Linked DNA regions of Arabidopsis thaliana. The protein of the gene in region 2 binds, or shares a complex with, the protein of the main gene of each other region. Each region holds a gene or a part of one and is shown on either strand. Other genes may lie near its edges.

Region 1 (8,877 bases), 240 kb from region 2:
TGATGGTTCAAGGTTATAAAGAGAGTACACAAGTGAGGGCTAAGTTACCTTGAGATGTTGAATCTGTGATTTCAATTGACTAGCTTCGTTAGATGTGACTGAACAAGCGATAACAGGTCTAGTCACACCACAGGCTCTTCCCAAGGCTTGCTTTGAAGGCACAAAGACATAAGGAACATTCTACAAAACATTCACAAAGAAAGTAAGAATATAGAAAACTAGTATATAAGAACAACAAAGCATTACAGAATCAAAAACATACAAGCTAAACAAAATCATAAAAGACAATCATAAAGCTGTCATTTTAAACTCCAACAAGTATGAAATCAGAGTTTAGTTAACAAAATGATATACAAAACTTGGCTGAACATTGGCACAAACTAATCAAACTATATCCTCAGCAAGTAAACTTAATTCTCTTCTATGAACTAAGGAAACAAATATCTCATTTGCTAAATAAACTGGTGTATAATAAAAGAGAAACCCAGAGAAAGAAGAAGTCAAACCTTATCCTCAGCAAGTAGGGGAAGATGAAGAAGAATCTCTAGAGGCTCAGCATCTGCAGCCATGACAACAAACTCGGAGATTCCACGATTAAGAGTCTTCGTAGCTGAAATGAACAAATTTAAATAAATCAGGAACAACTTCACAAACATTAAACTCAATAAATAAGAGAGACAAACACACATGAGTAACAAGCGGATACCTTCATTAGCACCCTTCTTGAGCTGCTTGTAGTTAGTAGCTTGTTGAACGAGGTCAAGAATTGTTATCGATAACTGAGAATCTGCAAGCGGATACGCTTTAGGGTTGACGACTTCTCCGGTCTGCAAGAAGAAACGAAAACAAAAACAAATTAAAACCCAAATCAGACAATCAAAGAGTAAGATTCCTTCGAAAACACTGCAAGATAATACCGAAAAGAAGAAAGAGGAAGAGAGAAGTACCATTTTCAGCTGCGATGTCTAGGGTTTCAGAGAGGATTAGGGTTTTAGAGGCTACGACTTTCTCAGCTTGAATATTCTGAATGATAACTTAGGCTTACGCTGTTACTTATATGCTTGTCGATTTTATACATCTTTTTAATGGGCCTGGGTGATGATATACTTCGGCCCATGTGAACTAACCTTAACCGACAGAACTAGTTTTGACTTTGGGAGTTTGGTTTTTTAGTTTCTTCTTTTGTCGGCGAAATTTTGATTAAAGCCCAAAAGGGTAACCATGACTTCACCTTTGTTCTTTTTGCTCGCATAAAACTGATCGATTATCCAAATTGACTGATAATTTTACAGCTACCACACACACAACAAACTTTTATTAACTGATGCTCTCATTAGTTCAATGAAATTAGTAAACTTGAAGTTACGTATGTGATTACTCTCTTCCTTTACGACAAAGATGCGTTTTATTAGCTGGTTCTGGTGTCTTATGCTCTACTAATTTCTATGGTTGAGCTTTATGGACTTGTCTCCACATTAAAATAACAGACACAATTTGTTCCAAATACAAGACCATATCCATAATCCAAAGAGGATAATATTCTACTCTTTCAGTTTCATCAACAACCCCTTGGAATCTTTTGCATACAGAAAAATGAGCATCCCAAAGAAGTAAAAATCTACAAGAACTGGATATGTAAGAAGTTGACACTCAAAAGAAAATGATCGACACACCCATCATGAAGCATCCAGCGGAGACCCAAGGGCTCAAACGCTCACCTGGTACAAGTGATGACAAAGCAAAGTTAAGCAACAGAATGTTCGGCGATGGAAAACAAATGGCAGTAAAAGTAGGAGGATATAGACTTAACTATATGCCATCATGCATATGCTTAAATAGGAGATCGACCATGGGTTTTAAAGCATTAGAATCTGGTATTCATGAGTTGAATTTATAGTACAATTGTTAGTAGCTGCATTGATTAGTAACGAGTTCTTGCTCCTAGAAAGCCTATCACTACTTTCTATAGAACACATGCAAAGAAATATTGTTCAACACAATGTTTTTAGAAAGGTTTTGAAATCACAAGAGATAACTGAGCTCCAAAGGGGTGAAAAGGCCTACCTATTCTAGCAGCCTTCCAGAAAAATCCTCGAAACCTGCAATAGTAATTAATCAAGCAATTTCTATCATTAATATGCATAGAACAAAGTGATGACTGAGGGCATTAGATGCAAGCTATAAATACAAAAAAAGCACTAGGATGAAGTAACATTTGCAATCTAAAGTAACAATATGCAGAGAAATCTGACAAAGCATCTTTAATTTGGCAAAAGACAATGCTTGAAAACAATAACCGGTGTCAAAGCTCCAAATGTGTTAGTGTTATCGGTTTTGAGAATAAAATTCACGAAAAAGGAGAACAAAGAAGGTACAAACCCAGTTTTCTGCTCTAAAATGGCAGGGAACTGCATCTTCAGATATGTGCATGTGCAGATCACAAGCAGCACCACCGTCAGAAACGAATGGAAATTGAACAAAGCTGACTGAATTTATCAAAGATAAACAAAACTCTTAGCTCAAAATCACTGAAATTAACAAAATTTAACAATGGAACAGAGAAGGCAATAACTACCATTGTATCGGATCACTGAAGCACTTGAGAAGCTAATAATTGTTTCCTTGAATCTGAAATAACCAGAAGAAAAAAAACAATAATGGGAATCACATGAGAATCGATTCGAAGACACAGACATGCCCAAGAAGAATCATAACTAAACACATGAAAAACTGAGCAAGTACAATTATCGTCAAAACCTAACAATTTATCACTACCGAGATTTGTAGAAGAATAATCAAGGGAATATGTTCATCTATTCGTCACTAATAAATCAGATTTACTATATATAGAAGCATCTGTGAATTTCATAATTATCAGATCATATAGTGAATCCAACTCCATAACGGTGACTCTCTCTCGAGAGAGCAGCAAATCAGAAAATTGAGAAATATCGATCGGTGGATGGGATGATACAAAAAAAGGGAACAGCAAACCTGAAGTTGAGCTGAAATCGATGCTAATGGCTAGAGAAATTAGGGTTTTGAAGCTTGAATCTTAGCAAAACAGATCAGCGAGACGTCAAGAGAGGGATCGAGAGACGGAGGAGAGAAACGTTCGCGTCAGAGTTATTCTCGTTTTCTCTACATATTTCCAATTCTACCCCTTTCTTCCTTTAAGTACTAAAGTCATTATGATTTCAAAGATTTTTTAAAAAAGAAAAATTGATAATATTATTTGAAATAAAGATGTTTTATAATAATCATCAATCCTTAATCCATAAAATCCACATTTCCAACTATTCAAAAAAGTGATGTTTGGGCTAGACACTAGAGTCTCACTAAACCATTGTAATCTACAAATCTTGAAGAACTAAACATGTTCACTACTTGTCTTTCAGCATTTACAATCTCTCTAAAGCATTGCGACCAGTACCACACAAGTTGATCAAATCCATGAGAACAGAGTACAAGACATCCAGAGACAAATGACCCAACAACTTCCTACTCTCCGACACTCCTTCCCTCTCCTCTGTGCATCCATTCTCCATCACTAGCCACCACGAGATGCATCCTTTTGCGTCTTCCGGGTTTACATGCGCCACCAGGCTCACTCTCTCCCCTTCCACTATCTCTAACGATAGTGACAGAAATTCCCTGCTCGCTTTTGTCCCTACCGTCCGTGCTTCCTCCAGTAGCCAACACACTATCTGGCTCGCCACCTTCTCAAATAAATAAACCGCGTGTTTAAGGGACCGTGTTGCTATAGACATGATCAACTTTAGGAAACGAAAGAACATACCTGTTGGAGAATCATCACGGGAAGGTCGGCCACGTCGCACTCGTATTTGTTTATAGAGAATAGATTGCAGGAACTGCTTTTGAGTAAGCCAACCACATTGGGCGTGCATTCCGCTTCAACACTAATACAATCATCCTTCACCACCACTTTTGTCCGGAACTGCGTCTTAAGATTCCTCTTACCATCAGGAGACTGGGTTTCAGACCTTCCTTGGGGGATGATTGATGGAGGAACAGTCATGAAGACAGTCCATGACGATGTCCGAGAATTCCATGTAGGATGAGATATCAGATGAAGATACGGGACCTTGCAGACCTGTTCAATGAGGAAGTAACCATTTTTTTTAAAGCATGATCAAAGATGACAACAAGTTTCTTGATAGAGAAGGATCATTCAATAAAGTTTAGCACATCAGGGAAAATACCACGCTTTCAAGATGCACAAGAACTCTATTTGAGAAGATTCTATGAGTCAAAGATAAGCAGAAATGGTCAAGAAGTCCGGAGTTGCTGTCCTTTTCTGTTTGATTGGATGCTCTGATACTTTTTGACTTGAGCTGATCTTTAGCTTTTCCAAAGGCATGCTCGTGAAAAATTTGTTGCAAGTATATTTCATAGCTGGTGCGATTAGGGAACCCTAGCTTCTTCAAGCGATAGTCTCCTCCTTCTGCTGGTTCTACTCTGCCAGATGATTCAATGAGCAAGGTTGCAGATTCCGACTTCTTGATGCTGGGATTTTTGCCTGATGGGTGGAGAGACACAAACAGAGAAGCTCCTTGGCCGATGCTCATTTCCATAAAATTTTCTCGTAGTCCACTTATGTTGAATCCCACACCTTCATTGAATGCTTCACGATTTAGCATGTCAAACAACTGGTAAGAAGACCAAAGAAGTGAGAAATAGTCGTGAAGAGATATACCAAGCGTACTACAAGATATATGACAAAAATACCACCTGCTCAGCAAAAATTGATTTATGCACCTCCCTCAGTAGCGAATGAGTTTCTTTAACATATTTGTCGTCACTTGCAGACAACTTCTCTGATGTTCCAGGGATATCGTGACCAGTAGTCGAGTCTATGTGCTCATCAGATTCGTTTGAGTTGCCAATCGGATTTAAGCCAACATACCCAAACCGAAGAGAGTACCATGAATCTTGGGGTACATTAATGGCCAGCATACCAGCTGAATCATGATCTACACGAATAGTGGACAGTGTAGATGGGCGAAAACCAGAAGTCGGATCATATAATGAACTGTCAGAAAGATCAATGGTGAAGCCCTCATTGCTGGCATTTGAAGCAAGCATGCGTTGTCGCTTGACTTTCCAGTTCCGCTGCAACCTATAAGCTTGTTAGTATAGCAAAAATAACCATTTGCACGTATAAATCAATCTCTATTTTGGAAGCTGAAGTCAGCTTATCATTTTATACAAATTATGAGCAATTTCAACGGAAATTCTCTAATTTGTGTTGGCATAATCTTAAGCAGTCACTACACAACAAAATGGATGTTCCTGAAGTACTGTACTATGCAGGTTCAGTAACAGAGACGGTGTAGAAGTCAAAATTTAGAACTTTTTCACATTAGACAAGAATAATAAAATGCTTTCACGTTTATCAGTCATAAGTCATAACATATTACAAAACCTACGTGCGTAATAACTCTACATCCAAAATTCGGACGCTAATTATCTGTGCACAACACAAATAGCTATGACATTGTAAGCTACCTAAAACTAGTATCAAGAATGCAAACAACAAATTCTTAAAAGTTGCAAAATAGTACTAAGGAAAATAGCCACTGACATTAAATGAAAAGCAAGTACTCGAACCTGATAAGAGCACCATAAAACCTTGCTTCACGATTGATTTTCTGCTCTAAAGCTTTTGCTGATTGTTTAAAGTAGTTTCCTAAATTCTGCAGAGGAAACAGATATTCAGAAGTGAGATAAGCATACCATCCAAAGACAATTATATAGTTAAAAAGCTCTTTACGAAACCAAGTTAATGTTTCCAACAGTTTCTCAGGATACTAAAAAGTGCCTAACTAATAACAATTACAAGAATCCTTCCATCTTTAAGCAAAGTTAAATTGCACATAAGAAAGTAAGCTACTGATTACCCGGTAGCCCTGCAGCTTGGTAGCAGTAGACACAGCAAGATCCGAGAGAATCTCATTCGGCATCGGCTTAGGTCTGGTCATCCCAGCAACTGTTACTGCATCATTTGCTTGGACCTTCAAAGATAAAATCAGAAGATAAATTGTTTAAGTTTTACTCTCTATTCAAATATCAGAAACCAAACTTCAGCTCCTTCCATTCAAACCAATAAAACAGACACTGTAAGAGCTATGAATATCCCAAAATTCTTATCTATTATCAACAAGAGTCACTCACTGTGTCGATAAGGTCAATGATGACAGTGAGCTCCTGATGAGCCAATTGCAAATTCTCAACCATTCCCTTCCATTTCCATTGCTCCACGCTATCCTTGGAGCTTTTCTTCTGCTTCTTCTTCTTCAGCTCATCTTCCTCTTCCAACGCCCACGCGAAGTCTATTCTCCGAATCAGCGATACTCTCTTATCATCGTAATCAACATCACTACACGTCAAAAACAAAAGGAATAATTTAGAAGCAAAACAATCTGGGAAGATTTTGTCTCGTTTCTCAAACACCAGACAACACTTACGAAGGAAAACGCTCGGCGCCATTTTCTTCGATAGATTCCAATCGTTTAATGGGAAGCCTGTCGAGAGAGATTTCCATGTCGCTATCCATATCGTACAGAAAAAAATCTTCCCGGTCAAAAATTCAGATTTTCTAGGTCGACGGTAACACAGTCCGGCCAAATCGCTTCAACGCTCCAAATCGGATATTTAGATCTAATAATCCGGGTCAAAAAAATTCCGGATCATTTTTACGGGTAAAGCCCATTAAAAGCCCAAAATATGTTGTACTCTGACTGTGCAAAACTCCTCCGTAAAACCCTTTCATTTGCATTTGGGAATCGATTGCTCTTCTTCGTAGTCGCCTTTGAATTCGCAGGTATTTTTTTGTTCTTCGCTTGATGGGTTCTCGTTGATTATCACTCGATTTCGTATCTGGATCTATTATAGGGTTTTCTCTTGTGTGATTCCGTGTAGTTAGAGATGGATGCTTCAGATTCGTTTTACTTTTGCTTCCATCATCGGATCAACTAAGGATTGCAGTTTTTCTGGTAGATTAAGTAGAAATGATATGTTTAGAGGATACAATCCTTAGTTTTGAATCTTAAAGTTGAATACTTTGAAGAGTTCTCTTTCATTTTCATCTAATGAGTTTTGTGTTAATGATCGGTTGTGAATTGCAGAGTGAGAAGCAATGAAGGTGAGATCATCTGTGAAGAAGATGTGTGAGTTTTGTAAAACAGTGAAACGTCGTGGACGTGTGTATGTTATATGCTCTTCCAATCCTAAGCACAAGCAAAGACAAGGGTTCAGTTCCTTTGCTTATGAAGGAATTACACCTTCCCCTTTGTAAGTGAATCTTGTATCTGGTTTTCGCTTTTGAGTAATTAGGTGTCTCATTCGGATTTTGGACGGGTTAAATACAGTGTATATTGACTACTGTGAATCACTTACTACCCAAATTTTGTCCTATAGAATCATTGAATGAAAAGTGAGGATCTATTTAGAGTCTGTTGAACAGTTACTAAAATACATTATAGTGGAACATCACACAGAAGCATGAAGCATGTGCACTTGTTTTCCTTCGCAGAGTTGAGAGTAACTTACTTAAAAAGTTATTTGGGATTGTAAAACAGGTTTGCTGAGCCGATTGCTAGTCAGGAGTTGGTGAGGCTGCCTGGTCAGGGGGTATCAGCCGGACTGGCATCACTTTTACACAAAAGGCCTATGCCAACAGCGTATTTCGGATGGAGGTCTGGTCTTGCATCCATTCTCTTCAAACAAGGAAATTAGGATGTCAGCATTTCCCTTTTTATTCTTCAGATTTGTAATCGCAGTTTTCTTCCAATTCCTATGAAACATTATTGTATATCTCTCCACTTTTACTTTGGTCAGTCGTATGCTCCTTCGAGACCTGTTTGATTGTGCCTCGCATGACCTGAACAAAGAGATATATTATGACACTCGAGTATTTGTTTTTACATTTTCCACTGGAGCATATGTTAGGGATCAATATGTTTTTCTTTTAGAAAACTCTGGTTAGTGATATCCACATCGATTACATGCCAAGGAAATGAGCAAATTGTGGTTGAATTTGTATTGACCGCGTACCAAGTAGTTTGAAATATGTTGTGGCTCATTTGCGCATGTTTATAGTCAAATTTCACTATTCCAAAATGAGGCTGCACAAAGCACACCCACTAAATGCGAATCAAATACAATGAAACTGGAGAGACGGAGACTTCTCAACGACAACGACCCTTCTCTTTCTCCACCGTTGAGCACTCGGCTCGTAGGTCCTACGTGGTGGTGTGAGAGGTCACAGGAAGCCCACTCTGATAGGCATATCCCATGGGCCCCGCTTCTGGACAGTACTACTTTTGGACATAACAAGCCTTCTTTATTACTTTTTGTTGTAGTTTTCCCTCAGTCAAATCGTTAACAGCTTCATTCCAAAAAAATCACCTCACCAATAATTGTCATACTCTTTCGTAATTTCCATTTTTGAGCTGCAATTTTAACCAATTGATCTCGAGAGATAACCATCATAATTGTGTTTCTTTCACAGGAAACAAAAAATACGAAAGGGATAATTAATCTACTCAATATATAAAATTCAGAAAGGATAATTTCTCAAAGGTTCAGGATTCCTTGCCAATGAAAATTAACATGATCTTAATATATATATCATTTGTTTACTTGGACTATATGACGTATTGGTCACGGTTGTTCTTGAATAATTGAGTTGTTCACTTGTCGTCTGATTAATGTGTTTGGTTGAATTCTAACTTTAAAGTTTTCAGTTAATTGTCTTCTTGCAATTTTTAGTTTCAGTATCGAACTTTTAATTTGAATTTGGTAGTTTCGGATTTATAATAGTATAAATTTAAGAATGATAGTAGAACTTTTATC
Region 2 (7,297 bases):
ACTTAACTGCCAAAGACATTTTGGTTAGCTTTTCAATAAAGACGTCTCGTAGCTTTTGCTTTGTGCAACTTTTTGAGCTTCTAGTTAACTGGTAATTTGCTTTGACGTAGATCGTAAGTGGAGACATTGTTTCTGATATTCCTCCTGGTGCTGTTGCCGCCACTCATAGAAGGCATGATGCAGCAGTGACTGTTATGCTTTGTGCTCAACCTGTCAGTGGGCCATCAGAATCAGGAGGTTCTGGTGGGAAAGATAAAACCAAAAAACCTGCTTGCGATGATATCATAGGGCTTGATTCCTTGAAACAGTTCTTGTTATACATAGCCAAAGGTCCTACTTTTAATTTTTCTTTATGTTTCTTAGAGGTAACAAAATGCTTGAACTTGTTGTTGGTTTACCTCCTGAAATTGTGTTAGGTACTGAGATTAAGAAAGATACCCGAGTAAAAAAGAGCATTCTCTGTGCGGCTGGCAAGGTAATGTTCTTATTAAGTTTTTGAAATTACCTACAAATGCATCTTTTTATGATTCATATATTACAAATTCTTAGTACAGTTTCTAATTATCTTGTCATTTTCGATTTAGATGGAAATTCGATCAGATCTGATGGATTCTCATATATATGCCTTCAAGAGGTTGGTCAGATCTGCTTTCCTGCTATCAAAGTAGTTTTATCTGTCGATACTCAATATGTTCTTTTGTCTTACAGAGCAGTTCTGCAGGAAGTTTTGGATCAAAAACCTGCTTTTAGGAGCCTAAAACAGGATGTACTACCGTATCTTGTTCGTACACAGCTGGTTAGTCGGATACGGTCCTTGCAAATGACCATTTTTTTTTTATTACCATTTTGATTCCTTATTTGTGCGGTTTCCCCTTGAGTATCAGAGATCAGATGTCTTCTCTGACCAAAGTAATGTAGAAGAAAATGGGAATGGAAATGGAAAAAATAATATGCAGAACAACGAGGTGGTCTTGTCTCAAATTCTCTCCAACGCATCCATGCCAAGCTTTCATCAAGTCTATGAATCAGGTCTGGGTACCCGGAAAACCCATAAATGCTGTGTTTATATAGCGGATGAAAGTAAGTATTTCGTCCGCTTGAATAGCATTCAAGCCTTCATGGACGTAAACAGAGATGTAAGTTGTTTACACATGGGATTCCTTCTCCAGTATTTTTTTCTCAGTTGACTTATGAAGCTCCGCAATTGTTCAAACTTGTGCAGGTTATTGGTGAATCAAACCACCTATCTGGATACTCCTTTTCTGCTCATCACAACATTGTCCACCCATCAGCTGAGCTTGGATCGAAAACCACAGTACGTAACTCTACATGTGTAGATATTGAGCATTTGTTCTGTGAGTTGTGATCGTGAATAACAATTTTTGGGTTGCAGGTTGGACCTCATTGTATGCTTGGAGAAGGCTCTCAAGTCGGTGATAAATGCAGTGTCAAAAGATCTGTAATTGGGAGACATTGCCGGATAGGCTCCAATGTGAAGGTAATAATTAGCTTTTTACTCAAGCCAGCCAAAGAAAGGTGGTGTACATCTCGAAAAGACACTCAACTGCTTGTATATGTGGGTGCAGATTGTTAATTCAGTTGTGATGGACCATGCCACAATTGGAGACGGATGTTCAATACAAGGCTCAGTCATTTGCAGCAACGCACAGCTTCAAGAGCGTGTTACTCTAAGAGACTGCCAAGTACGTTACCCCCTTCAGTTTTCATAATACAGTGTCCCCTACGTATCAATGCTTTTACAGATTCCATAATCAAAACATCAATTGGTTTTATAGGTGGAAGCAGGGTATGTTGTTTGTGCCGGGAGTGAGCACAAAGGAGAGACCTTTGCTAGAAAATGAAAAGGAAGGATAAGCAAATGAGGTCACATCTTGGAACGCTTTTTTAAAATGAAAAGCAGCATTACTTAGTCATTCGTTTGGTAGGAGAGAAGAGTGTGAAGGATTGGAAAGTTTCCCACTAAGGGTTTTGTTGATTAAGAGTTTGAGATTTTCCGTTAGTATCTTTTACTGATAGAGTTTGATCTTTTGCTATTCATTACATATACATGAAGTCTTGAAACACTTTGTCAGCCACTGACCCTTCTCTCTGTTCCGTTGGTTATATTACATATGTCTTTTTTTGTTCTTCTCATTATTTACTCTTTTGTTCGAGATAAAACACTTTCCTGAAAGATCTAAATTTTGTTTTTGGTATTTCCATAGAGACGAATACACCCAAAAAGTCACATGCCTTCAGATTCGATAAATTTCAGAGTAAATGATTTCGAATGTATGAAACCTTTCTGTTTAAATAGTCACGAGAATAGATAAACTTCATAGCTTGTTTAAAGTGTAACAAAATGTACAAGTTGTGATTCTTCTTGGCGAACTTTTCGTTGCTTAACCCCTCCTAACTTCTCCCACAATGCAATTTTTATTTAGAGATTAAACCTGCAAAACCAAATCCAAATCATTTTATGTTATGTTGAGACAAATCTACACCATATAGAAACATTTCTAATTATTTGAGACTCCAAAATAAAGTTAGTGCACTCTCGGTCGCTAGAGTTCCAGGTTATCTTCTTATAAGCCTTAGACAATAATTATTTCTTCATGTTTAAAACAACCATAGCTTTGTTGACTCAATCATATTCATCATGTACAGTACCGTTGGTTATGACAGACGCAGCCCCATATGAGAAACGTGCGTTATCTAAAGATGAGAAGATGACTCTAGTGACCGAGTTACCTAACAAAGTTAGCTGCTTCTAAGCCTCTCCATGACACCTTGGGTGTGCAATACAAAAATGAAAGTGTGCACGGCTTCAGCCTCCAACCTACATCGCTCCCATCTCATCAAGCTTTGAGCTCTTATGCTGCAAAAAAGTTAATTTTAGGGCCGACAAAAATAAAATTTGCAGAGCAACACCAATGTGCGAGTAACCAGAAACTTCTAAATTCAGCTTCACTAAAAAGAAGGAGATGCCTCCATTGCCATTAGTATATTACCTTACTCTTTTTGTGCCTCTGAACGTCATCAGCATCTTCAGTCCCATTGTTCTTCCTTTTCTGAAAGTAAAGTGATAGCGTATACCACGTCAATTCTATCGAATTTAAGAATCCAAAATATACATATATAGACGGCCTAGGTACCAACAAGAGCAGACAGTTTTATAACCTTATCATGGTGTCCACTTTTTTCCTTCTTTTTGTCTCGATCCTTGTCTTTATCCTTATCTTTGATCCTATCTTTATGCTTGTGCTTGTGCTTCTTATGTTCCCTATCTTTCTCCTTCTTGTCTTTATGTTTTCTATGTTTCCTATCCTTATCTTTTGACTCACTTTTTGATTTTGATACAGTGGTAGGAGCTCCCTTCTCTGCCTGAAATAAGAACAGGAGATCTCATATTCTCAAACCTAGCTCAACTATCATCACAAGATACTTGGAAGTAATTCAACTTATCATGGTTAGTAAAAGATCTAGATGTTACAGGAAGTTAAAATCTAAACAGAGAGAGCAATATTCTTACTGGAGGCAATTCAACAGGAGCTGTATCATTAAGCTCAAAAGCCTCCTTAAGTTCATCAAGAACAAAAGGTTGGATGCGAGCATTCGTATCTCGGCTACTAAGTGATGCATTAGGAATAAGCTGATCTAATTGCATTCCTTCTCCTTTTCTAATCTCTGTGTCTCCAACCAAATTATGAAGATAATGAGCATCTGACAGTGACTCTGGAAGTGATCTCTTGCAAAAGAATTCATGGTGTGGCAACAACTTGTATTGTGTTATAAGATCTAGTGCACCACCCAATTCTCTAGGACCTGCACTTAGAAACCCAGAAGCTCATTGACCCTCAAATCCCAAAATAATAAAACTTGACAAAAATCAAAGCTTGGAAACCAAATTTACCTCCAAACTTAACGCTCTCTGATTCCATATTTTTTTGTTGTTGTTGATTAAACTGCAATTATTGGAATTTGAAAACCAAACAAGCCAAAGCTCAATAAGCTCAAGATTTGACGAAAAGCGAAAACAAAGCTGAAGCAAAGATCAATCACCGCCATACATGACTTCACGAGGCAGATCTCATCGCAACCCAGAGATATAAACCCTAATCTGGAAAACGGATTGCTCTTGGTCGTGAATTTCCCGCGGGAATATCGAGGAACGTTCGAGAAGGAAGTAACTAGGGTTTGAGAATGGATTAGGAGTTTCCTCAAACAATGGCGTTATAAAATCGCGATTTCTTTTTCTTCTTCTTCTGTTTTTTTTTCGTCCAAAATTTTGTTATTTATACGGGTTACCGCGTGGGGTTCACGCGCTTCATAGTGCGTATGATCAACTTTACAGATTTCACAACGACTTTTTTTACATTTGTATTTTTATTTTAATAAAAATTTCAATTTTCTTATAATTTGCATTTTTAATCACATAGTTAAAAAAAAAAAAAAATGCTAATATAGCCGTCAAATAATTTTTGTTGCAATCGTCAATAGCCACCGATTAAGACGGTGGTCAACTTGTTAGTGGATATGGCCACGATTAGGTGGTGGCACTCAGTTGCAAGATAGCCACTGTTTTTCATATGGTCATATGTATGTGTATTTGTGGCCAAATAATTAAGACCAATTTGCTAAGGCCAAAAAGTGATTCGTTTAGTCATTGCTATTGTTCGGATCCTTTATATTGAAGTTGGAGAATGATTAACCAAAGCTAAAATCACCCAAATGGCCAAATCGTACCAGCAATCAATGCATGATTTCTTAACTCTTGTTTCTAAAACTATGATCATCCGACAATTCTCAATTTATCGAAGATTAGTTAAATGGATTCTGCATCTGACGGTTTGGTTAAGTCATGTTTTATTTTGTTCTCGTATGATGTAGGAAGAAGTCAAAATGTATCACAACACAACACAACCAGGGGTATCTTAATAGATGATGCACATAGAACAGAACGTTTTTTTTTTTTGTGTGTGATAAAGAAGATTACAGAAACGTTACACTACTGTCTTTACACACTTGAGACATATTTGCTATATCGCTGAAGAGAGAAAGATTCCGACTTTGTAGAAGAACAAAGCCCTAGTTTGGCCTTATACAACAATTAATGTAGGTCAAGATCCTCTTCTTCTTCTGCATGGTAATTAAATTAGTAATGTTAGAGAGACTTATGACGGTGACAACATGCTTCCTCTTAATACATTTCACATATTGCATAATGCTTCGTATAACAAGGTGATTTCGACTGTTATACAAACTAGAGATGGAGTTTTCATATTCGCTCTAGAAAAGCAGTGTACATTTCGTTCATGTTTGCCTCTTCAAAGTTTGGAGGCTCCAAGCAAAACAAATTTATGTAACTCCCAACATATAGTTAAAACATAATGCAAAGATTATAATATGATTCAGACTTTTAGTTGGTTTAATTATATTTTTATCTAACAATAGAAGTAATGAAATTTAGCTTAGGTGGGAATATAATGTTAAAATATGGTTGCTTATTGAAATGTTATGGAAAAAATGCAAAAAAAAAAACAAAGTTTTCCTAACAAATAAAAAGAAAGTAGAAAATGGGAAAATGGAAACGAACTATAAATTCATTGTTCGAACAAAACACATCATTTCAAAACCATGGAAACAAACTGCAAGCCAATACACTATAACATCAAATTTAAAGATACACTATCATTACATATTCATAAATGAGACCTGATACTATGATGCATGTATTAACTCATAATTAAGTTGAATAACATTCATGGTTCAATTATGTCTCTGAGTTAAGAAAGAAATGGAATGAAATATTCTTTTTAGGCGCATGCAAAAACACAAAACAAACAAAAGACGCAAAGAGAAAATCAATTCCTGAATTGTTATACCACCTTGTGATGATCCATGCGCGTTGACTAAGGGGAAAAGGATCATCACAAGGTGAATATGAACCAAAGAATCCATGGAAGAGTAAGTAGAGAGAGATAATTTAATTACCATGACAGGGTCATCGTCTTGAGTTTCATGGCGATGGTGAAGTTGTTGGTGGTTGCGACGAACACTTACCATGAGTTCTTGTTCGCTTCCCAAACTAGAATGTCTTACACCAGCTTTGTTCTGCTTCCTGTTTGCGCGAGCTTTAGAAAAGACAACCGAGTAGTTTGTAGCATCATTTGGTCCTTTTTGGTCCCACCCTCCGAACTGTGGAACTGGAGTCCATGCAGCATTCTGTATCCAAGAATAAAACTCGTTAGATAAACATATAATTTGCTTAGGGAACCAAATATTTCCGGAAAAAAAAAAAAGAACAATGAGATCGATGTTGAGATTGCATCGGTTAATTTTCCCCATTCTATAAAACGCGCATTAACCGATGAAAGCTCAACATGTCTCGATTGTAACTCAGACATCATAAAGATCGATGATTTAGTAATAGTTGGATAAAAGAAAAGAAACAAGATTTTATAAAAAAATTAGAGAGCATGCCTCCCTTCTTTTATCCATAAATAGATATTGCTTGGTTTAGAAGAAAGATGTTCTTAAACATTGATGAAGGTGTTCATGACGAGGAGGAGAACGATCTCTCTTGTAAAATTCCACTTTTTCCTTTATAGTACAAATTGTTTGAAATCACGATTTCATAGGAGCAGATTTAGGAGGTTTCTAAACTTGGAGGATCTCAAGCAATGGTGTTCCTTTATGTCCGGGGGATTTTTTAATACTAACTTTTGGCATCCTATTGGAAAAGGCTGTTAGGGGTCATGAAGACTTCTAAGCAAGTAGAAAGTTGTTGAGGTTGAAATGTCAATCTTAGTGTACTTTCATCATATCGTTACAAGAATTCGAATGGATAACGATGAAAATAATTAGTGTTTGCTTCACACAATTGGATTAGCTTTCTGATGCTAAAAATCAATAACTCTGTTTGAAGAGAACAATTAAATTGTGAACTTGTTTTGCTCATTTGTATAAATGAAGTTTTATAACTTCCTTGATTGGTATATATATGTTCATGAAGGCACATGAAGACTCTGAATATTATATACATGCATGAGTCTTATTACATAGTCAGAGTATCTAATATTAATTTATTAGAGAGTGAGCTTTTTCTTTAAAACATTAGATAGAAAGTAACGTCCTTATGAGCAATCTCCATTCCTCAGGCGTCGGTATAGATCCAAGTAACCCGGTGACTCTGGTCTGATTAACCTGCATAGACAAAATGGAACAGAATGTATTGCCAAAGGGAATTGGAGATTGCTCATAAGGATGTTACTATCCGCGGCGAGAGCATAAAAGT
Region 3 (9,562 bases), on a different chromosome or scaffold from region 2:
TGGGTCGATATTAATATGGGATGATATTCTACAGGTGAAATCTTCGATATAACAATCAATATACAATTATAAAGTTTAGATCAATATTAATTTTTTTTTGAAGTTTCAAATATTTATAGTATTTGAATTTTATAAGAAAATAATAAAATGATGATTAATTTCATTGGACATGGTTACATGGGACATGTCTGGATCGCCATTATTATATAATGGTATACTATGGGTGAAACCCTAGAATTAACTATCAAAATATAATTATACAATTGTAAACACTAAACAAAATAAATAATATTAACACAACAAGTACAATTTAAAATTAAATATAACTTTTAGTTATAAAAATCGTCACAAGGTGTATCATACATTAAAAAAAAATAGCCTATATATATAAATCATTTTAAAGACAAAAAATCAATTTTTTATTTAATAAAATTATAGACCTAAAATGTATCTTTTGAATATGTTATTCATATATAAATAATATTAATTAAAAAAATTAACTTTTTAAAGAAATTATCAATATCTAGTAAATAATAAATTCATATGTTAAAAAAAAATCAATACACTCGTGCGAGAGGAAAAAAAGGACAATTGGAATTGCCGTTTGACTATTGCCAAGCCCAATTCTAAACTTATACAGATTTATTCCCAACAATGGGCCGAGTATTAGTGACAATTTGACGTTTCCTAAAAGCTTATAGTGATTCGATTTTAATAAAGAAAAGACTATATATGATTTGTAAGAGAATCTCCAATGGTTACAACCCCATGATGGGTTCTCTGCATTTTATAAGAATAAAATTAGCTTTTTTCAATCTTAAAAACTTGCATAAGAGCTCTGAAGTTTTTTGTCCTCCAATGGTTAAAACCACTAATGGGGTTCTCTAAGAAAAAAATTCAAATTTTGTAAAACAATACATACATCCTTTTTGTTTGGTTACAATACATGGTTTTACAAAACATATTCACAAAAAGAAACAACTCTTGGTTGCACATGTTTACTTTTACTCGCTATAATACATTTCCAATTATTATTAATCAAGAGAGTACTAGAATATGAATTAACTATGCTTTGGTTCCGACAAGACAGTGAAACAAGAATGACATTTGCACAAGACCTTTGGTTCTGCCTCCTTGATCTCATCTCCTGCTTCGTCCTATTGACCAAAGAGTTATAATCATGTCAATTACAGAACTTAGTGAACAATGATCAATGTATATTGTGTTGATGCTTACAGTCATATCTGAAGTCCAGAAAGTGAGATTGTCTCTAAGAATCTTCATAATCAGGGTACTGTCCTTGTATAATTCATCACCCAATGCATCCAACTCAGCGATAGCACATTGGCATTGTCCAACATACAAGAACAAAGATCTTGCAACGACAACATTTAGTTTAAGCAATTAATGAATAAAAGCAGCACAAAGAACATAATTACTAGTAACGTCTTCAGGTGACAAAATATGTACCATCATCAGAGCCTCCGGTTGCAGGCCGTAAACAATCCTAGTGGCAAAGTAACAACACATGGTTATGGGATCTCAGAAGCTTCTTTGATTCTCATAGCACCAATCACAAGGAGAGTCAAACCAACGACTCTTGTACCCCAAGTCCTTATAACTTCAGTGTGAAGCCTATTTCAATTTCAAGGTATAGAGCAGTGGATAATCTCAAGGTAAACTACACAGAAAAAACTACAATTCACATAGATAGTTCGAACAATTACTACAAACTTGATATTTACGATGTTTCAACAATTACTTGATCATGAAACCATAGACTACTAGTAATGAATCCAATGGTTCTTGAAACAACTGAAACCTATAAACATTGATGCTTCTTCAAAAACCACCAATCCAGTAACTTAAACCAAAAATAGTCGCAAACATCGATATAAACAATACACTGACGCTAATCCAGAAGATTCATAGTCGTGAATTACCTTAATACTCTGATTCAATCTTCGAGATGTATCCGGCGATGGATTCTGGCGGAAGAAGCATGAAAGGGAGCTGTCTCGGCGTGACTGGAGACGGCGAAAGGAGGTAAAGCTAAGACCCAATTTCTCATTAAGCCCATCTTCATTAAAAACAAGACCTAAACGTGAGAAGTGTGTACGTATGTATATAATGTCTTCTTCCTCTCGCCGCTTATGTTACGAGCACGCAATGTTAACCTTATCAAAATCATAGAAATTTGATCTCAACTCTCAAGTCACCATCATCCTCCACTATCGAGTTCACCATCGTTGTAGTTTGTGGTTGTGGTCCCGATCGTGTTAAGTGGTGACGTGAAGTTATCGTCACGTAACATCCAACCCTAATCATCACCATCTGAGCCACTATTAGCCTTCTTCGTCCTCCTTCTTCACCGGAATCTAGATCTATCATTGGTGCTTTGTTTGGGTCTGTGATACCGAATCCTCTACTTCTTCGTTGCAGAGTGAGATAACGGTGAAACCTTATTCTCGTATTCATGTTAAGGTGTTGTGTTGTTTAATTATTGAACCAACCTAAACCAAGGGATTACGTATAGTTACGGCCATGAATTGAAACTTGATTATTAAGGAACCTTTTGAGTTGATCGGTTATGGCGTCAGTTGGGTTGTGTTAGTGAAGAAGACGATATAGTCAGTTATTGGCTTATTAGAAAGCGTTGGGTTAATTGTCAAACCAGAAGTAGCATTGACATGTACGTGATTTGAATTGTGGCGTTGGTTTAATTATTAAACCGGGGAGTATTTGGTCACGTAAATGGATGTGGCGTAGTCAATTACGTGTTAAGCAACTAATATTAAATTATTAGACTTGGTTTAGTTATTAGATTAAATAACAAATTATTAAGGGAATATAATCTTGATTGATTAATCTAAATTGTTGTAGTTTGAGATCGTTGTTGAGCCGGATCCATTGTTGCTAGTCCTATTTCTTAAAATCCAACCGAGTTGCCAAGGTGAGGGTAGGATCTGTGGAAACATAGTATCACCTTTACTTTTGTATTTCTGAATTTCATTTGTATAAGATTAGACATTGGGTGCTGATTGTTAAAATGTTAGGATTATATATTAAATATTGTTGATTCAGTAATCAAACAATGAATTTGTACTAAGGGATTTAGACAAATTCACTCCTCTCTTAGCTCACAAATAATCAAAGGAAAAGAACTAGGTTGCTTAAACAAAAAGCTAGGGTTTGCTCTGTAATAGTAGTCTCTTGTATTAGGTTAAAGATGATCTCAATGGGGGGTTTGACCCCTCTATTTATACAATAGGTCGAATATACCAAAATATGATAAACTTCTAATTATCTTAGGTTTAAATCTTCATTACTTCTATTCTTCATGAGATCCTCTTCTCTTAAATGGAAGTTTTCCCTTTACACGACCTAAGAAGTTGGTTATGGCGATCTTGATTGTCGACTTAAGTCTTCGGGCGATCTCATGACTTAGGCCCATTAACAGGCTAACCGGGATACCCCGGTTCAATCGAATTCTCGATTTTATTCACATTATTCCTCGGTTTAAATTAGTATTGTCGGAGGTGCTAATTCCTGCACCAACAAATATTATAATACGTGTTGTGTGATATTATGCGATAGGTTGTTAGCGTGATATGCATATTGATTTTTGAATACTCTTTTGTCGTTTTCTTGTACTATATATTTATCTGTTTTGTGTTACCATGTTGAGTAATTTCTCTAATCATTCTTTTGTTTGTTTGTTAAGGTTTAGCGAGGCGGTTCTTGGTCAAAGCCTATACATACATCTCCCCGTTAGGACGCATAACTTAATGGAGGGAAATACTAACTGGAAGCCTAATGAACAAGGCGGAAACCGTGATGCTGCGAATAATCGTATTGATTGGAGATCACAACATGAGCCTGAATTACGGCAAAAGGTTCTTTCAAAAATGTAAGCCATTCTTTCAAGAGTTTCATGTTTCTTTTGTTGGACTCATTGTTCTTATTTGATTATTAACATTCATGAAAGAGAGTAAGGTTTTCTTGGTCATGCTTTCGATGTGATATTTGTAGTTTGCGCATGATAAAGATTGCAACAGTTAAAGCATAAGAGTTGTGCATAAATGTTTATCATAGTTGACAAAACCTAACTTCAACCTTTTGTACTTTAAGTTTTGCATATTCTTTTAACCTCATTACCTGCATTTAGGCTCTTCCTCACTAGGAGAATCTTGTTTTACTCTCGCTTCTATGTACAATTGCTTGGCACATATGTATAATTGTTTCAGTGTTTGTTCGCTAAACGATTATCGTAAGTTCGAATATTAACTACGGATTATTTTCTCTGTTTTGTATTTTTAGTGCAATTAAAATGGTATCACTTCCTCTTGAATATCAGTTATAACCAAATTCTTCATAGTCACTGATATTTTGTTCTCATGTATGTGTAGAGTTGAAAAGTTCAAGGAAAAGTTTCATGCACATGAAGAATATAAGATTAACGACATCGCTTCCAAATTTGAAGAAAATTTTTATAGCATAGCAACCGATAAGGTGTTAAACTACAAATTGTTTCTCCATCTATTAACTTCAGAATCTGAATTTGATATCTTACTCATTGTCCCCTTGCTATGTTTCAGAATGATTACCTTAGGAAACTCAGTGAAACACTGCATTATATACAGAGAACTTACACTAGAGTTCTAGGTAATAAGTTTTTGGTTTCATAATTATACTATTTTAGCTTAATAACAAAGAAATCACTAACTAACTTTTTTTTTCTATGTGTTTATCTAAACATCAGCTTCTCAAGTAGTTGTGAATCAAGCTCAATCTCTTCCCGCCTTGTTGCCATATATGCAGACTACAACGAGCCAACAATGGTTACAGCAAAACACACAGAGCAATCTCTGTGTCATCTGCTTTGCCAAGTCAGGTCCCTATAACCGTTCCCGGTTCTCAAAGACAGATACATGGTAGGCAACAACTTCTTCCTCAGCAGCAACAGCCTCAAATGAATCAAATCCGCCATGGTAATTTACGACCTTCGCACATGCAACAACAAGCTCGGTCACCGCAGCCGCAACATCATCCGCAAAGTTTGTTGAAACAACCTATTCAACAGCCTTTTCCTCAATCAAGCTAACAAAACACTCAATCACTGACCAGAAATCAGTTTTCGATACAACGGGTCAGTTTTAGTCATCAACAACAGATGGTTCTGCCGTCTCAAGAACAGAAACGACAAGAACAAGAGCAACTCATTAATCAACTGACGAATCTTCCAACATCACGACCAAACAATAGAGACCAACAAGGAGCTTTTCAGGTATCCTCGTCTCAGCAGAACAATAATGTTACCTTACATGCAATGTCTCAACAGAAGAATAACCTCCAAAGTATGACTAGAGGTCAACAAGTAGGACAATCTCAACCAATGATGTCACAACAATACCGACAACAATACCCCATGCAGCAGGATCCTCAGAACAGAAACTTACAGAAACATTTGGATTTTGTACAAAACAATACCAATCAATTTCAAGCAGCAAGTTCGTTGCGCCAAACACAAAACATAACAGATCAACAGAACCAGCCACAACAATTAGAGAGAGCAAATCCATCTAGTATGTTTCCTCTCTTACTAACTCTTGTGATAATGTTTTTAGTTCTAATAATGAATATCATTGTAGCATCTCAAGATTCTACGGGAAAGACGGTAAATGTCAATGCCGGAAACTGGCAGGAGGAGACCTATCAGAAGGTATCTTCACTTGCTTTGCTCTTCACTTCTTAACATCACAATTAGGGTTTGATTTTGTTTTCAATTGATTCCCATTCTGATATGTCCTGCAGATAAAAAAACTGAAAGAGATGTGTTTACCTGTTCTCAGTTTAATGCACCAAAGAGTTGCGGAAAAATTGCGGGAGGTACTTTATTTTATAACCTAATTGTTTTGCTTGTGGAACAAGAATTTGTTCTAATGGTTTTCTTAATCATTTTTTTTTCTAAAACTTTGTGTTGTTTTTGGTTTAATAAACCTAATGTTTCCAGACTGAATCTCTTCCGCCGCAACCGATGCAAGCTCAGTGGATTGAAAAGCTAAAGGCGGGAAAATTGTCAATGGAACACCTTATGTTTTTCTTAAATGTTCATAGGAGCAGTGTATCAGAGAAACATAGAGACAAGTTTAGTCAATATGAGTACCACATATTGAAATTTACCAAGAGTCAGACCATGGTTTTGAGGCCAACGCAGCAACAACAAGGACAATTTCCTCCTTCTCAAACAGCAATGCAAACCCAAAGTCCTCAAGTCCATGTGTCACAGTCTCTTTATAAGGAGCAAAGGAGATCACGGTTGATGCCAAGTAGCCAAAATGAGGCCTCGTCTTTGTTGCAAATAAGGCCTAAGTTGGATCCAAGAGACGAGAACATCATTATGGCTTCCTCAGGAAATGTCATGTTACCTTCTGTTAAACAAAATCCTCGGGCCGTAAACACAAATATCAGTTCGGTTCAGTCGTTGCAGAAGCAGAAGCGATTCCATCACCGACAAATGCAACAACAACAACCACAACAAGGGAATCATCAACATCAAATGCAGACAAATGAGATGAATGATGTGAGGATGAGGGAGAGGGTCAACATTAAAGCCAGGTTGCTTGAGCAACAAGTCTCATCGAGTCAGCGCCAGGTTCCAAAGCAAGAGTCTAACGTTTCATCCTCTCAGATACAGAACCACTCTTCTCCTCAGTTAGTTGACCAGCATATTCTTCCTGCGACGATTAACAAAACCGGAACCCCATTGAACTCTAGTGGTTCGGCTTTTGTTGCTCCAGCTCCATCTCCAGTTCCTGGAGATTCTGAAATGCCTATATCTGTTGAGTCTCCAGTTTCTGGTGTTGATGAAATAAACTCAACTTTAGATTCTTCTAGTAAACTTGGCACACAAGAAACTCCTCTGTTATTTGTTCCTCCGCCCGAGCCAATCACAGAGCGGCCTATTGATCGACTTATAAAAGCGGTAAGTAAACTCTATAGCTTATCTAAGTTTACTTTCTTTACCTTCTCCTATTTACTGACCTAATTTTTAATGTGTGTGGCTTTCTAGTTTCAAGCAGCATCACCAAAATCATTGGCAGAATCTGTAAGTGAGATTAGCTCGGTGATTAGTATGGTTGACATGATTGGAGGATCGTTCCCTTCTAGTGGAGGATCTAGAGCTGGTTTAGGCGAGGATTTGAGTGAGAGGACAAGAAACTTTACCACACACGAAGAAACAAATCTGTCTAAGAGAATGAAGCGATCAATCAACATTGTGCCGCCAGATATGTCATCACAAATTGATAGTTATGAACAGTTGAGTAGCCTTGAATCTGAAGTTGTTTCCACAACATCATCTGGCTTGAAAGTTAACAATATTGCGGTAAAATCTACTCTATTGGTATCGAACTACGAAAACAAATGAAACATCGAAATAAATCCATTTTTTCAATCTTGTAGCCTGGTTATGCCCTTTTGCAAGAAATCAAAGAAACAAATGGGAGACTTGTAGAGACAGTGGTAGAGATATGTGATGAAGATTCTTTAGGAACAATCGTCACTTGTACTTATGCTCCTGTGGCTCTCAGTGCCACATTCAAAGATCATTACAAGTCTGGAAAAATTGTAAGTTACTTCAAACTTCTTCTTTTTCCTCACTCTGCTCAGATTTTTTATGTCTCTAAATGTTTGATGCAGGCACAGATTCAACCTTTACGCTTACTATTTCCTATGGATTATCCGTATAGTTCTCCGATAGTTCTCGAGGAAATCTCCTTTGACACTAGGTATGAATCTTTCTTAGAAATCAAGTAACAACGATTGGAGTAAATATATATGATCTTAAGGATTTATATCTGCATGTTTCAGTGTACACAAGTATGAGGATCTATCCGCGAGAACCAGATCAAGGTTCAGTTTGTCCATGAAGGAATTTTCAGAACCAGGGTTTTCGAAAGGAATAGCTCAAACGTGGAATGATTGTGCGAGAGCGACAATGGTTGAGTACGCAGAGAGACATGGTGGAGGCACTTTCAGCTCCAAGTATGGTGCTTGGGAAACGGTTCTAAGAGCTTCATGAGGACTAATACTTCCTTTCTCACTCACCGTACAAGATAGTTTTTAGGTGGGAAGCCTTATAGCCCAAGTTAGGTTTTTTTTTATTTCCTTTGAGATAGAAGTAACATTTATTTGTATGGTGTGGCTCATGTCTTCTTATTGTATATATTTTAACAAGAAATTATAATTGTTTCAAAACCGATAGTATAATAAATTATCTTGAAATATTTAGGCACAAAGCCTTTTTTTTAAAAAAGATTTTAAAGTATTTTATTGTTTTTTCTTATTACATGTTTCATTTATAGAGCCCAAAAGGTTGGAATATAAGTTTTAAAAAAGGATTACAGAAAATGAAGCCAAGCCTATAAAACTAAATCATCCTTAGTAATTTAAACATCCACTCATAAAGATTTTGCTGATGAAACGTGTTGATGAAGTGTTTTGCCCTATGACACGGGCCGAGACGTCAAGCACCGCTGTTGAATTCGCGGGAAACCGCTAGAATTCACCAAAATGTTGAGAATCGTCTTTCCTTCTGTCGATCTCGAACCCATGTCCAAAAATCGTCGATATTCTTTCGGATCAAGTGATGGAAGTCGCTTAAAAATTCTTCAAGTATCATTATCGTCGGGGAAGCTCCACCTCTGACGACACCCATATTGATGTGGCCGGATCTTTGTTCATGTGTGTGCATAAAGAAGTGGTATAGATATTACTCGTCGAACTAATTGGTGGGAACATAGAGGATTTGTGAAGAAACCAAAGACATCAACAATCACCAATAGATGGAGATCTAAACTCGCAAGGCAAGAGAGAACTTGATAAAAGTGGTATCAAAAGTCTTGTCCGAAATCAAAATTATTGATATCGTCGAAGCAAAATTTATAAACCTAATTAAACAGAAAAAAAAAAAAACTGAAATTAATATCCGATTTGGATTAGAGCATGATCGTTTCTAAAGAAACGAGAAGGGTAAGAGAAAAAAAAAAGAAAAAAAAAAAAAGCTCTCGAAAGTATCCTATTGATTTACATGACATGATAAGAGATTTATAAAGCAAAATAAAAAGCTATAGCCTCAAAATTGAAACAATCATGCTGTAGATTCCTATTTTTTTTTCTCGCATCCCAAATAATAGCACAACTTTATAGTCTTTAGAAGGTCTGTACATTTTTTCTCTTTTTCTAAAAAAAGTTTTATATCTATTTCTCCATGAATCAAAAGATCTCTATCTAAACTCCCTGAATTGATACTTCAACATTTATTAACCCATATTTTTGGGTTTATTCGGTTAACTATACTGTTAACCATTTATAACCAGAGAAAACCATACATCAACGAAAGAAGAAAACAAAAATACTCTAGCGAGATTTCTCTCTTAGGCACTCTTCCCGAGTGACCCCAAAGCAGTAAAGAGTTTTTGAAAAACCAGATCTCACCCACTTTTACTTCCTATACAAGGCAATTTTACAACTCCGGTGACCTTTCTTTGCTCTTTCTCGC
Region 4 (6,761 bases), on a different chromosome or scaffold from region 2:
AAGATGAAACAGTAATCAATGGCATCAAGGAATTCTACGGTATCAAAGATGAATCATTTCCATTACATGGTCATCTCGTGGCAAGAAACACCGACACAAGCAGCGTTAAGAGGATTTACTATGTTTCAAAATCAGTTAAGGAAGTTCTTCAGTTGAATTTTGCAGTCGGGCAGCAGCTTAAGATCGCTTCTGTTGGCCTCAAAATGTTTGTAAGTAAAAAATTCTTTTCCCCACTTATCATTTCGGTTGATTAAGCACAAGCTCCAGAAGTGAAACTTAAGAATATTTGCAACTAATTGAAACGCAGGAGAGACAATCGGCAAAAGAAGGTTCAAGCACGCTGTGCCCATTCCGTATATCATCCGAGGGACTACCTGTGATTCTTCCATACATTACCAAACAAGTACTTTATACTCCAATGGCAGACTTCAAACTTCTCCTGCAAGACAAATCAATCAAGTTTCACGATTTTGTCAATCCACAGTTGGCCCAGAAAGCAACTGACCTTGTTATGGGAAGCTGCGTGGTGATTCTCAGCGATGGTGCGTATTGATTGGTCTTCATAGATATACATTTGAATTTGATCATGCAGGATGTGATTTATATGGTTTTACTGGTGCTTCAGGTGAAGTACCGGTGAAAGCGGATGCATCAACAATTGCCATCAGTTGCTGGAGAGGGAAGGCTAGTTTGGCTGTTATGGCCACTGTCGCAGATTGCCAGGAGCTGCTAGAGAGATTTGCCGAGAAAACACCAAAAACAGAAGGTGGTTCGGTAAATGGAAGCAACGGCGATTCGGACGGTCCACTAGCTATGGAGACTTAAGCCCTCCCTTCTTCATAACTTCAAATTGTACTCCTTTGTTGTGGTTTGACTATTCCCTTACTACCTCCAAATTATTTTTCATATAAGCATAATCATGATGACTTTTGTTGGAACGACATAAAAAAAATGAAAGATTTTGTTCTAAAAATCAACGTACACTACACAAAACTCACTATCTAAAAACCAAATCAAAACAATATTTTTGAAGTATATGAAATGGTTTATTTTATTCTAAACTGTAATGGACCAAATCGAGAAGACTGACTTATTGAGCTGCAACACACGGTGGTCTTAGAAGACTGACTTGTGAGCTGCAAGACACGGTGGTCTTAGCGAGATTCTTCTTGTTCACCTTGTTGAAGATCTCAGTCAAGAGAGTGTTGAAAGAGTTCTCGACATTTGTGGAGTTTAGTGCTGAAGTCTCAAGGAAAAAAAGCCCTTCCTTCTCTGCAAATTCCTTGGCATCTTCCACAGGAACCGATCTCTGGTTCTCTAAATCCGTCTTGTTACCAATCAAGATGATGACAATGTTCTTATCCGCGTGCACTCGTAGTTCTTCCAACCACTGAGGAATGTGCTCAAAGCTTTCACGTATTGTCATATCGTAAACTAACATTGCACCAACAGCACCTTTGTAGTAGGCTTATGTAATAGCTCTGTGTCTACTCACAGCAAAAGAACAAGAATGTCACTAATCAAACCAACCACATTGCTATGTACAATGGAGAAAACATGCCATGCACAATGATTAGCCACTTGGATGTGAATGTGATCATCACTACATAATTTGATTCTTCAGGAGAATGCTATAACAACACATTACAATGTTGCCGAAGAACAAAATCGAACAATTCCAACACTAATGGTCCAACTTCTAAAAGAGTCGATTACTCTCTAGTCAAAATGAGGTCACTCTCAGGTACACACGAAGATCAAAATCGAAATTGAACAGCAACACTGTAACATCATCGAGTTCGAAGCAATATTTTATCCATTGTTAAATCAGAGAAGATAGAACTAAGATCGGAGAAGGATATAGTACCGTTTCTGGCCTGCGATGTCCCAGATCTGAGCTTTGATGTTCTTATCGTCAATAACGAGCGTTCGAGTATTGAAATCGACACCGAATTGTGGCTTTGGAATCCATACTGAATTCGTCTCTTGTGAACCGAGCTCGTAGCTGTGACTTCCCAACCGCTGAATCTCCGTTCAAAACAACCTTGAATACGTAGTCAACCTCTTCTTCAGCCATCTTCTTCTTCGCTCGCAGTCGGCGATCGAACGACGTCGATTTTCTCGCTGTTTTTACACTCTCCGGTGGACTGAGAGATTAAACTAATCGTAGGGTTAAAATGTAATCCTCTACGGTAGAGAGTACTAGAGTGTATGGTAGTCAAAGTCGTCATACGTGGATTTGATTAATGATTGCTACACGTGTATCGCATTGATAGGTTCTCTTGCTCGGATCACTAATACATAAACTTGGATACAACCCAAAGCTTGACCTATTTTTGTTGAACACCTTTTTGTTTTTATATTTTTCATCCTCTGAAACAAGTCCATAGACTCTTGTATTAATATATCCTGATGATATTTGGTTTTACATTTGCATCTTGTATCATTGTAAACAATTCATAAGCCTTCCCACAAAAGCATGCTTGGCATTTGACAATTGGCAATTCATAAATGATGCATTATAAGCATAAATATCAACTTGGATATTCAACTTGGCCCGTGTATTATGCTACCTCTACAAATTTGGTGAGGTAGGTTAAAATGAGGCCGGTTTGAGTTACCGGTATATTAGACGAGCATTAACATGATTACACACTTGAGGATATTATTGACGAATGAAGAAACTAAAATGGTTTAGTTAATGCAAAATTGAGGATTCATTCGTCTATTGAAATAGAGAAGAATTGTTTGAGGCTAAAATAAATATATTTACATTTTTCCTATTCTCCTCCAAACTTTTCGTAAACATGGTTATTTGACTTATTTTTGAACTTTTTATCTAATAATTTAAAGGATTGTGGTGATGTAGTGGCCACTTAATCTACACAACATCGCAATAATTTTGACAAAATTTTCTACATATTTCTTGTCAACAATTATAAGGAATTAACACATTCTACTTAGTAGACATTTACAGTAATCACAACCAAGATGAAATAACCATATATAAATATCATTTGCTATGTTCATAAACTTTATCGAAACTAGTTGACTTCTTAAAATGCCAACTAATTAGGTTAGGGTTCATGAACTTTTTAGCAAAGATAGCACAAACTAAATTCTATCTTCAACCTAACTAATGACGGTTTACTCCGGTTAACCGGTGGTTATGTTCTCATCATGCGGCCAACTAAGCTAATGGGCTATTTGGTGATCACTAATCAATGACCGAGATGCACTAGAGTTTTTATTATGATCGAGTTCCCAAAAAAGGGGCAACAAGAAAAAACGAAATGGCCTATACAGGGATCGAACCTGTGACCTTCGCGTTATTAGCACGACGCTCTAACCAACTGAGCTAATAGGCCATCTTGCTTTATCTACAGCTAACTACTATATAACAACTACACAAGTGATTCTAGTAACTAGCTAAAATTCTCCGGTGTTAAAAAATCTCAGATTCGCTCCCGAGGACGATTTAGGAAGCTTTCGTTAGTTTTTCCAATTTCGGATTTGGTCTTGTTGAGAATATATTTACGATTTTAATTGAGAGATTTTGTGATAGCTCAATGTCAATGGAGTGTGTGGTTCAAGGAATCATCGAGACACAGGTTCGTTTGTATTTTTTGATTGACGAACAAATCCCAAGTTTTTCGAGTTCATGGATCAGCTTTTAGCTTTCTTATGATGTCCAATTGATAAACCCTAGGCTTGAATTTTTATTAGAATTTGATTAGATTTTCTACTGGATTTTGCAGCATGTTGAAGCTCTTGAGATTCTTCTTCAAGGTCTTTGTGGTGTTCAACGCGAACGTTTAAGAGTTCATGAGTTATGCTTAAGAAGCGGCCCAAATCTTGGTAAAGCCAATTCCTTTTGTTAAATTCAGAAACTTGAAGCTTCCTATGAATCATACATGATTCACATTTGTGAAATCTTCACTTTTTCAGGAGTTGTGTCATCAGAAGTTAGGCTATTATGTGATCTTGATCAACCCGAACCCACATGGTACAGCTTCTTCTTGTTGTTGTTGTTGTTGTATATGTTCTTGTTTCATTCAAAGGAAGCTAATTTAAGAACCATAGGACGGTTAAACATGTTGGTGGTGCGATGAGAGGTGCAGGAGCTGATCAAATCTCTGTTTTGGTTAGAAATATGATTGAAAGTAAAGTAAGCAAGAATGCTTTGCGTATGTTCTATGCACTCGGTTACAAACTAGACCATGAGCTTCTCAAAGTCGGATTCGCCTTTCATTTCCAACGGACTGCGCACATAAGTGTTTCTGTATCTTCTGTTAATAAGATGCCTAAAGTTCATGCTATAGATGAGGCTGTTCCTGTAACACCTGGTATGCAGATTGTTGATGTAACTGCTCCTGCAACTTCTGAGAATTACAGTGAAGTCGCTGCTGCTGTTTCATCTTTCTGTGAATTTCTTGCTCCGTAAGTTCATCTGATATATTTTACAGCACCTGTGATAGTGTCTTTGATATAAGCTTCATCAGTGATATGATTCCTTGTGTTTTCAGGCTTGTTCACTTGTCGAAACCGTCTATCTCCACGGGGGTTGTGCCAACCGCTGCTGCGGCGGCTGCATCTCTTATGTCGGATGGAGGAGGTACTACATTGTAAGAAGTTTGAAGTTAAAAACAACTGTTCTTGTGTTCTCTCTTGTTAGATCTTTTGGTCCAATCTAGTCAATTTTCCAGATTACACAATGGTTGTGAAATCTTGTGAACCATTAGAGTTAAGTATTATTTAATGAGAATCAGTAAGGGATCTTTAATAAATATTCTTTATAAATCACAACTTGCATATGATCTTTGCTCTTCTCTCAACCTTTTGGTATTATGATGTTTCATTGTTGTCACTTGTCAGTAGATTGATAGTTTATGAAGCTTCGAACATGATTAAAATAATGTGAATGTCTTTGTGGAATTACATACTATTTTATTTATCATTCAATCACTAATAAATTCCAATTTGAAAGCCTATTAAAACCTAACATATTAAAAATTTGAACCACAAAAAAATGAATTCTAAAATTCTTCCATTTCCACAACAATAATCATCTTCCTCCACTTGCTTCTTCTTTTTTCAAGAGCCATTCTAAATATCACAAGCCAGAGTAGAAAAATGTATATGTATAGAGAGATTCATAATTTCAATGTCAAAATTTTCGTGTTTCTAATCATCTACTGGTGCTATTAGCAGTCTTGTTCTTGCTCATATCAGCAAGCTCTTCAATAAGTTTTTTCTCCTCTTTGCTCAATCTCTTAGGTATCTCCACTTGTACTCTCACCAACTGATCTCCTCTCATATTACTCTTGTTCAATACCGGAACTCCTTTTTTCGCCATCACAAGCGTCGTGCTAGGTTGTGTCCCAGCTGGAACTTTCAAATCTACTGTCCCATCCACTGTTGGTACTTTCAGTGTCGTCCCTAAAATCGCATCGATATACGATATCTTGCAAGTGTAGAGAATATTTGTATCGTCTCGTTTCAAAATCGGGTCTGGGATAACTTCTATAACAACAAACAGATCGCCTGGTGATCCGCCTCTCTTCCCGGCATTGCCTTCTCCTCTCACTCTCAACCGGCTACCTGAATCAACCCCGGCTGGTACTTTGAGACTTATCCGTTTTGTCTTCCTCACGCGTCCGTCTCCAGAGCAAGTACCACACGGCGTCGAGATCTCTCCAGTGCCATTACAGGACGAGCAAGTCATGACTTGTTGGAACACGCCCAGAGGAGTTCTAGCTGCTGAAACCACTTGGCCTTGTCCGCCACACGTGGTGCATTTGGTCGGTTTGGTTCCAGGTTTTGCACCTGAACCTTCACATGTCCCACAGCTCTCGAGCCGGGATATCTCTATTTCTTTCTCCATTCCGAAAACCGCTTCTTTGAAGTTTAAGATTAGCGTGTAATACTCGTCTTGACCATCCACAGCTCTGCTTCTTGAACCTCTACCCATCCCACCACCGAAGCCTTCGAATAATGAGTCGAATAGATCGAACGGATTACTAAAATCCTAATGAAATTTAATAACAAAAAACCAAACCAAGAAGTGATCAGAGAGTTAACTTCGAGTGTCTATAAAGAATAAATCTGTGCATCTGTGTTTTGAACAACGTACCCCATTGCCAAATCCAGCAGCGCCTTTAAGTCCGGCCTCACCATACCTATCGTAAAGAGATTTCTTTTCATCATCTGATAAAACCTGCAATTTTGTTCTTTAGTCACTAAAAGTACGAACTTGCATAGTAGAAACAAAGGAGAAACTGGGTTTCATTTCACCTCATATGCGTTACTTATTTCTTTGAATTTCTCTTCTGCGCCAGGATCCCTGTAAGCACATAATAAACATGTAAACAAGACGGTAACACTTTTCTAACTTAGAAGTGTCAGTCTTGAAAGGAAAAAAGCGGTTTCTGAGCATTTCATATTTCCCGGTCTGTATTTTGCTAAGGGCTATGAGTTCTTAAAATAACTGGTTTCCCTAATTTGGGGAACAACATAATCCAAGGTTTGCAGTCATCTTGTTTTTGGCATATCTAACATTTGGCTAACAGATATTAAGCTTCTTATCTCTACTTGACTGTCGATCCTATCTTCTTATTCTCAAGATATACATCCACTATCGTCATCAAGTGAAGTTTTTCACTTACTTGTTCACATCCGGATGGTAATTCCTAGCCAGCTTCCGATAAGCTGAAACAAGAGCAAGGAAGAGCGAATCAATGTCATACCAAAAAGTACCAAGT

The links.
Region 1: AT5G19480 (region 2) and AT5G20170 share a complex: the UniProt entries of both Arabidopsis thaliana proteins name them as parts of the mediator complex.
Region 3: AT5G19480 (region 2) and AT2G10440 share a complex: the UniProt entries of both Arabidopsis thaliana proteins name them as parts of the mediator complex.
Region 4: AT5G19480 (region 2) and AT2G22370 share a complex: the UniProt entries of both Arabidopsis thaliana proteins name them as parts of the mediator complex.

The regions. Positions count from the first base shown.
Region 1 is NC_003076.8:6,804,153-6,813,029, forward strand, and holds AT5G20170 (RNA polymerase II transcription mediator), read right to left. Parts: upstream 6,768-8,877; 5' UTR 6,578-6,767; coding exon 6,489-6,577; intron 6,401-6,488; coding exon 6,196-6,400; intron 6,036-6,195; coding exon 5,922-6,035; intron 5,718-5,921; coding exon 5,632-5,717; intron 5,141-5,631; coding exon 4,753-5,140; intron 4,671-4,752; coding exon 4,224-4,670; intron 4,115-4,223; coding exon 3,800-4,114; intron 3,720-3,799; coding exon 3,402-3,719; 3' UTR 3,223-3,401; downstream 1-3,222. Other genes in the region: AT5G20160 (Ribosomal protein L7Ae/L30e/S12e/Gadd45 family protein), read right to left, coding at 49-180, 507-827, 948-950; AT5G20165 (kish-A-like protein), read right to left, coding at 1,810-1,871, 2,065-2,099, 2,214-2,282, 2,380-2,486, 2,576-2,578; AT5G20180 (Ribosomal protein L36), read left to right, coding at 7,160-7,314, 7,602-7,758. UniProt on the Arabidopsis thaliana protein: Component of the Mediator complex, a coactivator involved in the regulated transcription of nearly all RNA polymerase II-dependent genes.
Region 2 is NC_003076.8:6,568,472-6,575,768, reverse strand, and holds AT5G19480 (mediator of RNA polymerase II transcription subunit), read right to left. Parts: upstream 4,269-7,297; 5' UTR 3,942-4,268; coding exon 3,914-3,941; intron 3,826-3,913; coding exon 3,533-3,825; intron 3,385-3,532; coding exon 3,181-3,384; intron 3,072-3,180; coding exon 3,012-3,071; intron 2,879-3,011; coding exon 2,840-2,878; 3' UTR 2,146-2,839; downstream 1-2,145. Other genes in the region: AT5G19485 (transferases/nucleotidyltransferase), read left to right, coding at 1-23, 111-330, 417-475, 585-634, 709-796, 885-1,136, 1,223-1,315, 1,394-1,498 and 2 more; AT5G19473 (RPM1-interacting protein 4 (RIN4) family protein), read right to left, coding at 5,089-5,139, 5,995-6,348; NUDT24 (nudix hydrolase homolog 24), read right to left, coding at 7,273-7,297. UniProt on the Arabidopsis thaliana protein: Component of the Mediator complex, a coactivator involved in the regulated transcription of nearly all RNA polymerase II-dependent genes.
Region 3 is NC_003071.7:4,012,273-4,021,834, reverse strand, and holds AT2G10440 (mediator of RNA polymerase II transcription subunit), read left to right. Parts: upstream 1-3,788; coding exon 3,789-3,910; intron 3,911-4,247; coding exon of another isoform or gene 4,248-4,274; intron 4,275-4,409; coding exon 4,410-4,512; intron 4,513-4,598; coding exon of another isoform or gene 4,599-4,665; intron 4,666-4,762; coding exon of another isoform or gene 4,763-4,821; coding exon 4,822-4,934; intron 4,935-5,024; coding exon 5,025-5,149; intron 5,150-5,192; coding exon 5,193-5,585; intron 5,586-5,627; coding exon 5,628-5,722; intron 5,723-5,814; coding exon 5,815-5,889; intron 5,890-6,013; coding exon 6,014-6,985; intron 6,986-7,072; coding exon 7,073-7,387; intron 7,388-7,464; coding exon 7,465-7,629; intron 7,630-7,671; coding exon 7,672-7,790; intron 7,791-7,872; coding exon 7,873-8,083; downstream 8,084-9,562. Other genes in the region: AT2G10450 (14-3-3 family protein), read right to left, coding at 1,062-1,157, 1,237-1,329, 1,471-1,530. UniProt on the Arabidopsis thaliana protein: Component of the Mediator complex, a coactivator involved in the regulated transcription of nearly all RNA polymerase II-dependent genes.
Region 4 is NC_003071.7:9,498,887-9,505,647, reverse strand, and holds AT2G22370 (mediator of RNA polymerase II transcription subunit), read left to right. Parts: upstream 1-3,437; 5' UTR 3,438-3,569; coding exon 3,570-3,611; intron 3,612-3,758; coding exon 3,759-3,858; intron 3,859-3,948; coding exon 3,949-4,006; intron 4,007-4,083; coding exon 4,084-4,440; intron 4,441-4,526; coding exon 4,527-4,629; 3' UTR 4,630-4,864; downstream 4,865-6,761. Other genes in the region: AT2G22400 (S-adenosyl-L-methionine-dependent methyltransferases superfamily protein), read left to right, coding at 1-209, 308-542, 626-825; AT2G22360 (DNAJ heat shock family protein), read right to left, coding at 5,189-6,028, 6,134-6,217, 6,295-6,343, 6,666-6,708. UniProt on the Arabidopsis thaliana protein: Component of the Mediator complex, a coactivator involved in the regulated transcription of nearly all RNA polymerase II-dependent genes.